2 linked regions of the Arabidopsis thaliana genome follow. The protein of the gene in region 1 purifies or fractionates together with the protein of each later gene. This does not show direct contact. Each region holds a gene or a part of one and is shown on either strand. Other genes may lie near its edges.

What was found.
Region 2: the proteins of AT1G65030 (region 1) and IMP4 fractionate together in Arabidopsis thaliana (co-fractionation; one large-scale study listed by BioGRID). This does not show direct contact.

What each region holds. Positions count from the first base shown.
Region 1 is NC_003070.9:24,154,820-24,159,485, reverse strand, and holds AT1G65030 (Transducin/WD40 repeat-like superfamily protein), read right to left. Parts: upstream 2,815-4,666; 5' UTR 2,689-2,814; coding exon 2,020-2,688; intron 1,451-2,019; coding exon 1,153-1,450; intron 1,046-1,152; coding exon 975-1,045; 3' UTR 811-974; downstream 1-810. Other genes in the region: AT1G65032 (COMPLEX 1 LYR-like protein), read left to right, coding at 316-591; AT1G65020 (plasma protein), read left to right, coding at 2,975-3,096, 3,177-3,393, 3,926-4,041, 4,229-4,408, 4,538-4,666.
Region 2 is NC_003070.9:23,664,303-23,669,607, forward strand, and holds IMP4 (Ribosomal RNA processing Brix domain protein), read right to left. Parts: upstream 3,071-5,305; 5' UTR 2,942-3,070; coding exon 2,830-2,941; intron 2,733-2,829; coding exon 2,649-2,732; intron 2,548-2,648; coding exon 2,438-2,547; intron 2,347-2,437; coding exon 2,296-2,346; intron 1,832-2,295; coding exon 1,688-1,831; intron 1,589-1,687; coding exon 1,499-1,588; intron 1,348-1,498; coding exon 1,241-1,347; intron 1,051-1,240; coding exon 963-1,050; intron 842-962; coding exon 743-841; 3' UTR 528-742; downstream 1-527. Other genes in the region: UBC5 (ubiquitin-conjugating enzyme 5), read right to left, coding at 3,586-3,722, 3,788-3,916, 4,009-4,061, 4,167-4,281, 4,456-4,535, 4,658-4,701.

The sequences.
Region 1 (4,666 bases):
TCTCTTCTTTCTTCTTTATGCTTTTGGATACCTATCGTATGTGAATTTCCTACTACTGAATTCTCCGGTTTGAATTGCTTTTGTTGGTGTATCTCAAAAATGGACTTAAACCCTGAACAAATTGTGATATGAGATTTAGATATATACATTTCCTTAGTTATGATTCATTTAGCTATCAAATTGCTTAGGTTATGTAACGTTAATGATTTGATTTTTCATTGGTGTTTTGGTTCTTTGCGCACCAAGTGTTTGACAAAATTGCTCAATGAACATGTGCAGGACATTCTCGTTTCCAATTTTGTTAAAGACGAAGCCATGAAGAGTCTGATATGGTTAACAGCAGAAGAGGCTGCAAAGAACAGAGGAAAAGTTCTTTCTTTGTATCGACAATTACTTAGGAGCATTAACTCGCCAAAATTGCAGCTTAGTTATGCTTCAAGACTTGCGAAGAAAGCTGAGGTTAGGACCATCTTCTTGTTTGGCTCTGAGGAGATTTCGAAACACAATGTCGCTGATCTCATCCGTACTGGTGAATATGCTCTTTCTCAATTGAAACAAGGCAAAATCCCCAACAACTCTACTCAGTATTGAGTCATCATTGTCACACATCCATGGATATATATGGCTTCACTTGCTGCTCTTTTCTATCTTTGTCATGTTTTTGGTATTACAAGATGATGGTTTAGCAAACATGTCGTATGTTTTTGCATATTGCTCAGTGTATCCCAATAATCATTAATGATAAGTTTGAGAAGAACAACACAATGCATAAGTGAGATTGTCCAAATTGATGAAAACTCATGTAAAATGATATTAGTAGAATGCTTTTTTTTTTGTTTGTTTCTTTCACAAAATCTATGGTTTAAGACAATGTTTATAATTATAATTCGACAAGAATCTACTGGATTCTACCAAAACTTGCATCAAAATTAATGTCAGCTCACAATTTTTCAATAAACACTAAAAATCAGCTCTTATTCTGAGTCCTCATGCTCTTCGTCTACCTTCTGAGGTTCCTGCTTTCCAATCTGTGGCCGTCTCATAGCTGAATAAACATAGAGAAAGATGAACAACCATAATGTCACAACTTGTGGGAGTTTGTTTATTGGCTTTGTATGGTTTAGAAAAACACATTCTGAAAAATAAACTTACATTTAAGAGCTGACCCGGCAAGACAAGTAAGCCTTGATTTAGTATTTGTCTCGGCTAATGGTTTTGTATTTTCTTTAGCCGCCATTCGCACGTCCCAAACACGTATGATCCCATCAGACGATGCAGAACCAATCAAGTATGGATCTTCCAAGGAGCCGTCACTATCATTCCTGGTAAGCACAACAATACCTTTGATTCGAGCTGGGTGAGCATCTTCTATGGAATATGCAAGCTTCCCACTATTTGTATCCCAAGCTGTTATAGCCCGATCCTCACCACCTGTGAACAGAGTTCCACTCTGTTGCAAATTAAGCAAACATTTGTAAGCCAAAGAACAAATCCTCTAAATCAAATTTATCACCATTTCCACAAATAAAACACAAGCACCGCATCAATAAGGAAGAGAAACTCTATTAAGCGAGATAACTCTCAGAGGCTTTATAAACTTAAACCGAACACACAGTTGAGCAAAAGAAGCAACCTTTAGTTTATCTGATTATAACACTTTTCCCAAAAGAGTAATCAGAGTCTAGGGTTGCATACTTTGATAGTATTAAATTAACCTCTTTTAAGGTTCCAAGGTGGAATCTTCTGCAATATGCACACATGGGTAACATAGGACTAAGCATTAAAAGAGACAAACCAAATCACGCAGCTCTAGAACAATTTAATCAGCAATCAAAGCAAAACCAATACACAACAAGCTAAGAATCTCAAAGTTACTCACAGAGAAAGCTTAGTAAACCAATACTCAACAACAAGCCAACAATCTCAAAGTTACTCACAGACAATAGTTTGAACATGCCAAATGTTCCAATTAAGAGACTAAAGTTACAATTGTGGGTTCCAAAGAGTAAGAAACACAACCTCTCCAGGAGTAGCACAGAGAATACGCTTGCGGCTCGGATTCTCGAGCTCAAGAAGAAGCTTAGCATCTTCAGACTGATGAACTCCAACTTTATTACTCACAACCATGTAAAACCTTTCACCACTAGGATCAAATTTCACAAGACTAGCTTCATGACCTAACCTACAACAAAAACTCCTCTTTCCTCTAACTAAATTCAACATCGCAAAGAACTCATCACGATAAACAGCTAAAGCAAGCTTCCCTGAAGGATGAATCGCTAAATCATTAACCGCTTTCTTATGAGGACGAAACGACTTAAGCAAAACAAAAGGATCAGTATCGAATATAGCAACGGAGCCATCTGCGGCGGCGGAGATTAGATTACGAGGGAAGGAGAGTGAAGAAGGTGTGTAGAAGGAGAGAGCGGTGATTGAAGCTGCGTGATTGTGGTCAAGGAGAGAGCCGAGGGAAGAAGCGGAGGGAAGGTCGTAGAGGTGGATTGTATCGTCGGAGCCGCCGGAAGCTGCGGCGGGACCGGAACAAGCGACGGTGGTGATTGGGGAGATGTGGGAAGGGTAGGAGAAGAGAGGGGAGAGAGTTAGGGTTTGAGATTCGGCGTCGTGCTTCGTGGGTTTAAGCTTGAAACCCCAAATGAATCTCTCGTAGGAGCCTGCGATGATACTCATTGTAGCTTCGGTGAGAGGTTTCGAAAGTGGAAGTCTGATTGAAAATAATTAGGGTTTTAGGTTTTTATTGAAGAGGAAGACTGTTTTGTAAATTAAACCGGATACCAAAACCGGTTAGTTTTGTGGTTTATGGCTCGATTGAACCGACTTTTTTGTGTTAGTTTTTAGCATCTTTGTTGTTCGTTTACTTCAGCTGGGGTTTTTTCTTTTTTCTTAATTTCCAAGAATCGTCTCTTTTCTCTCAATCCTCCAATTCCCAAATTTCAACAACAAGACGAAGCAAACGATGTGGATTGAAATCATCTGCGGTCTCGTCATCTACAAACTCGTCCGCCGTTTCTTCTACGACGACGAATTCTCCGACGTCGAAACTTCCGATTCCACTGCTCTCTTCTCCGTTGCTCACAGGTTCCCGATTTTCCCCATACTCCATTTTTCGATTCTCGATTTCCACTGAAATTGATTCTGATTTCCATTTGTTATTGCAGACTTGAGAAACTTTATGGTGGAAAAGCTTATGTAGGACTTCGAATTCCAGATGCCGACACTGCTTCTAGACAAGACATTGATGTTGTTCTTGTTACTAAAGGAGATGTTGTAGTGATTTCTGTGAAGAATCTATCGGGGATTGTTACGGTAACTAGTGATGGTAGCTGGGTTTGTGAAGGTGGCAAGCATCATACTACTGAGACTTTCCCTGATCCTGTAAGTTTTGTTTGATTCTTTGTGATTACACACAATGCTTATAGTTTGAACATCCAAGTTATTAGAGTGTCGTTTTAGTGCTTGTGAGTGATTCTCTATAATTTTCTGTTCTAGATTGTAAAGGATACATATATTGGAACTCTGCTGCTATCTCCTTGTTGCATAATTATGTCATTGTGAGAAAATAGCACTGATGATTTACTTCTAGAGGCTTATAGGGTTTTTCTCTTTGCACGACCACAGTGAATTGGATATGTTCATTTTATGTAAGGTCTCCATCGAATTGTAAATGTGTATATGTTTTGGCAAAGTAGAGAGTATGATTGTCGCTTGAGTAGATTATGAAACAGAATATTCTTGTTATTTATACGAATGTGCTTGGTTATCCTTTCTTTTCTCCTGGATCGTTCTTACACGTTTCATTTCAAGTCTCTTGATCAAATCTCCTGTATTTTTATCGACTTAGGAAAGTTGACCTGCATCTTGCATCTATGCAATCTTGTTTATGACTAATGGATGTGTGTTTTCTCAGCTGGCGGAGGTCAAGAAACAAGCTTCAGTTCTTGAATCATATCTTGAACAGAGGGGAGTTACTTTACTAGAAGGAAATGTGTCTTGCAAAGTTGTCATTCCCAATCCAAGTTTTCGGTATGTTATCGTTATCCTTGCTACCGTCAGTATCTTCCTGCTTGCAAGAGGTAGACAAAAAAGCAATCAATTTGAAGTACAGGACATCTTGTAGTGCGTGCATGGGCGTGGCTATCTTGGTCTGTAAAGACATTCTTTATTTTCCTACTGGTGCATAAATATATGTTTTCTTTTTGTTTTTTTTCAGTACAATTCATGCATTCCCGAGTGAGGTAATTACCTATGAAGATTGGCAACAGCTAAAACCAGTATCAAAAAGTAAAATTTCTGGTTGGGTTAAAGGCGCATTCAGCACCGGAAAAGAGATGCAGGAATCTTCGCATCAAAAACTTAATTTCATCCTTGGCACAGCACCAACGTGGGATAGGTCATACATCTCATCTTTATTGACGTTCAATTTAAAAATTGTCTGAGTTGGTCATACATCTCATCTCTTGAACCCTTGATGAAGTAGTTCTGTTCAAAGAGTTTTCATTAAAAGTTGATTATGCTGCAGAGTGGAGCTTAAAAGTAGCAAAATTGTGTTAGGGGAATTCCTCGAGTTTAAAGGAAAGCAGGAAGATACCCTGGCTTTAAGAAATATCAAAAGGTCAAAAGTCGACCGTGTCTCTATTCAGAAAACAAG
Region 2 (5,305 bases), 490 kb from region 1:
TTAAATTAAAAACACTTCCTCCTTGTTGCGGCTAAAATCTCCAATCTATAAACCCTAGATGATAACTCTCTCTACTCACTATAAACAGAGAAGAATCAAAAGAGAAAACACAGAGCAGTAAGTTATGGACTTTTATAAAACTAATGGATAGAATTTAAAATGAAAAATATGGCCGAGAAAATTCGATATAATATTAACAAAAAACAAAAATAAAACTGGGAAGCAAGCAAATGATTAAACGAAATTAAAATTCGATTTCGCGACTTTCACAGAGATCAAATCGATCTGAGGAAGACGAAGAAGTAAATTACCGATAGATCCGATGATCAGATGAAAGAGACACAACTGAAACTATGAGACGAAACCTGGGACTGATATATATATAACAACACGATGAAAGATATTTATAATTAAAAAATAAAAATTATAGTTTAGAATTTTGACAATTTTGTGTTTATCCATTTTCCAATACCTTTTAGCACTTCGATGCTGCTCAGATAATTTTTGTTTGAATTCGTGGATAAAAATACTACTACAAAATTTTTTATTATGACTCACGCAACAGTATATGGTTGAAGATAAATACTAATTGAAGACAAGAAAGTTTTGTTTTTATAAGCTAAACGTTAAAACAAAATCATCGCAATTTTCTCTAAGGACACAAAAACTGAACAGCTCTTCCAACAGAATGATAAGTAAAACAGAATTTAGATAAAGGGTTCAAAGCTGTTCCGTTTAGTCATCATTCACCGATGAACTTGCGCTTTTTAGAGGTGTTCATGTACGGTCTTATAACCCATTCGATCTCTGCTTCATTTTGTTCCACAGTTCCTAATTTCACCTGCAAAAATAATTGCATTACACAGAAACAACATTGTTACTAAGGAACTAGAATGATTCTTTATCAAACCATTATTTTACTCGAGGAAAACAGTTTTGATTCGGTTAAGCAGAATGCGTACCTGGTAGAGCCGCAACTCAAATCGAGGACCGATTTCTTTAAGCTCGATTGATTTTGGACCTCCCTCTCCTTTATCATAGACATGATTCCTATATATATATACCCACAAGAATTTATAAAAATCTCCATCTGTTGTATTTACAGTGTTCTTACATGCTGTTTCTATGTGGATCAGATTACCAAATGCTAACATAAGCCTTAAGACCTTAGGCTTTGCATACTACAATTGATGTCACCAATTAAAATTCGTAAAATCTGATCATTGTGAGAAAATTTTACCTGAATGATATATAATCGGATTGATTAGAAAAAGTAACTATACGTTTTGCATCCAGTTTTGGAGCAGGGAAGATATGTTTTAAGATGTTTCCAACTCTTTGACCCATCTGCAAAACAAAGGGAAATCAAATTTGAAAATATGTTTACATTAGAAATGAATAAACCAGAGCGATCATTCTATGAGACACGACGAAGCTTGATGGTTTCCAATACCAAATTACAGTAAGAACGAAGTGAATTTTGGCTCTAGAGATATACCTGAGTAGTAAAGTTGTTAAAAATGAGATGAGGATATTGCTCAGGCATTTTTCCAATGGATTTCTTGTCTGAAATATCATGTCTTGTTACCTAAACAGAAGGGACTTTGGATTAAGTAAAAAGGCTAAACTAGGAGTTGAAAGAAGAAAGATTTGGATATAAAAATCAGATCCTCAAAGAGTTACTTACCACATTAAGTAATCCAAAGTATGCAGTTGGTCCAAATGGGAGATGAGAGATAATGAGACCATCAGGCACACCACGGTGCTCATGAACCAATATAACATCAGTAAAATCATGGGAACGAGCAGTTTCAATGATCTCAGAAATGACCTGCAAATTAACAGAGTGGGAAAGAAACTTAGATTACGATTCGAATGCAACATAGTTTCCGTGTTACACTTACATAGAGAGGTTTTGTGTTGAATATAAGTGTCAGTACAACTCCAGCTTAAATGATCGTTTATATTAGTCTTGCTTTTATTTGAAATCTAGATTCTGCAGAATTGGACAGACTCAACTACATTTTAAATTATAAAGCTTGATCTAATATGCAATTCATTGATATGACCAGTGTTGCGCATAAATTCAACAATAATCTGATACAAGTCTATGCACATGCAATAGTTATACCCAGGAAACAAAAGGGAGCTAATACCATTGGCAATCAATTTAACAACATCGATGAAGAAACCACAAGCAATGATCAATTGCAAAACAAAACCAGATTACAGAAAAAAAGAGAATTAGATATTTCCAAATGACTTTAAGTGCAGAAGCCAGAACAACACACATACCTGACTACCACGATTTATTCTCTGAGAGTTAGGAAACACAAACTTCAATTCCTGCAACAGAAACCACACCATCAATGAAAAGGAATCAGGAACATTATAACGTCAGCATCTATTCAACGACGGAAACTAAACAAAACAATACCTTAGTGAATCGGATGAGCGGAGCACTTGGATTCCTAGAAGTTGTCAACAAAATCTTTGGATCTGCTTCCGTAGCATTTGCATATTCATCATCGATATGACTCCGCGGAACTAGTAACAACATGATTAGATGATAACCATTAGCTGATGCCACAAACCATTCATATCACAGGTTCAAACCAATTGGAAAAATCTAGCTTCCAAATTCTTACCAGCTGTGTTTTGGTCTTCAAGATCAATTTCTTGTCGAAGCTTGGCTTCGACGTTTCGGAGCTCAGTAGGAATCGGCTTTCCTTCTGTTAAACCATATAAACCAAAATCAGAAAAACGAAAAATACACATCGAATCAATGATTGTTTCAACAGATACTGAAAAAAAAAATCATCACTAGACCTTGAAGGGCTTCTCTTATCAGCCGCTTCTGCTCATAGACCTTACGCTCATCACCTTCCAAGCTTTTCCTGTAGATATACTCTTTTTTTAACCTTACGAGTCTGCGTTGCATCGTGATTCGTCGTGAGGCTAAAACACGGATGTGGCGGATTAGGGTTTTAGGTAAGGGTTTCGAGAGAAGCCGGAAGAAGAAGACGACTGAAGAAAAATAGCGAAGTGTTGAGAAAACGGCAAGGTGTTTGTCATTCAAAACGTGAGGCGGAGATAGCTAGCTATTTTGGGCCGTTTATTTATTATGTGGGCCTAAAGAAGCCCATAGGAAAAGAAAAAAAATAGTAAAAATGGTAAAAAGGTGCCCTCACGCAGGATCGAACTACGGACCTTCAGTTTACAAGACTGACGCTCTACCACTGAGCTATAAGGGCATTTCTGTCTTAAATAATACTGTGATTTTAATATTTTATTAGATAAATCTGTAAGACCATTCATAATTTACAACAAACTATACTTTGAACAGAGGTGCACAACATGAAGATTAAAAAAGCTTCAATAATTTACATTAAACGACCATAAAATGACAACGTAAACAACAAGAGAAATAGAGATTTTACAGTTCAATTAAAACTGGAACCTTTAAACATTCATTGATTATTCATATATACATGATACATACAAAGTCACCAGCTTCTTTTTGTCATCCCCGGTTTAGCCATCTATTAAGCCAGCTACATGATTCATATCAAGACCAATGCGGGATTAAGGATCAAGTTTACCGGCGATTGCAACATCATCTTCATCATCACCATCCGAGGCATATTCATCTTCACTCATTTCATCATCACTAGACATTTCCTCAGTATCCGCCCTTGGCTTTGCGTATTTCTCACAATACTCTGAAACCGAGCAAGAAGATAAGATAATGTAGGGTAACAAGAATCTAATCAACTCAATATCTAACCTTTAACTCTCTGTTCATAGGTAGGACGATCACGCATCATCAATGCAGCTGCTTCACCATTCAATGGATCTGACGGATTCGGATACAGAAGAAGTTGCGGAAGAAATGTCTCGAACACATTCACCAGGTCTGAATAACTAAATCCAAATCATAATTAACATAACAAAAACTAACAGGAGTTAAAACTATCTTGTATATTGTTCCATTTGTTATGATCATACCGAACATCGGGCTCCAGGTCTGGTTAATAACATCTAGACAAACAGAACCTGACCTGCATAACCACATACAAAGAGGGATAACAAATAAGCACCACTCAAGATTTGGAGAAGGAACATAATCACTCCTCCAAAAGATCTACTGATTCGATTGAACTCACATTTCATCGACATTAGGGTGGTATATTTTGGTAATGAAACCAACAGATGGAGATTTATAAGGATAAGCATCAGGAAGTTCAACTCTTATCTTCCACACACCTCCCTCATATATACCTGTCCATAGTACAAACACACAGAGATAAAATCACCAAAAATTAACAAGTTGATACTGATAAGTTGAAATTGACACAAAACCCTATGATGATCATCATCAGCAGCAAGAACAAGAAAAAACAGAATCAAAACTCTATGATTTAAATTATTCACGGGACGAATTGAGTTACTTACTGTCTTTGGGTCCACTGAATTCGACAAAGAACTCTTGCATGCCATCATTGATCATCTCCACCTTGTAGTCACTCATCATCCTAAACTCTCACATCAAATCATCACAAAAAAATCGAATCAAATCGCCAAACAAACATTAGAAAAAAAATCGGAGCTCAAAATCAAGAATAAACTGATAAGATAATAAGATTAAAAAAATTACAGTTTCATCAAATCCATTTCTCTACGCTTGCTCGGCGAAGACATGGTTTCTCTCTTCTTCTTTTTTTCTGATTTTTTTTTTTTTTGTCTTCTGGGAATCAAGTGGAGAAATAAGATAATGTGAGAGAATCTTTTTCATTATTTTGTTTTATTTTATTACAGATATCGATGATGATGATGATGATGATGATGATGATGATGTGAGATGTTCCAAGAGAACTCATTGCCGTGTTGGCAAAAATAAAGTTTCAAGTTCAAGTTTCGACGGTAACTTAAATTTAATAATTAGGCCACAAAGAAAATGTAGACATGAATACTGTCGTGATATGCTCAGGAAGCTATTTGCAAATCAAACAAAACCCATCGAAACATTTGAGATCATGTAACTTATCTTATCTATAAACTTTTCTTGTAATAGCCGTTATTACACAACGGTTACAAAGCACAAGTAAATTCATTTTCATTGTTCTTCTCCAATCTCCACAAATACTACTCCGTTTTGTATATATGTCTTTGCTTGTCACATAACCTTCCCCGAAAGGTCTTGAGCTTTGTTTGTTTTAAAAAACAAAATAGTAGGACAACGAATAGTCATTAAGCTTTGGTACACATTAAACTCAATGAATGAAGCAAAACTGGTAATGTGTTT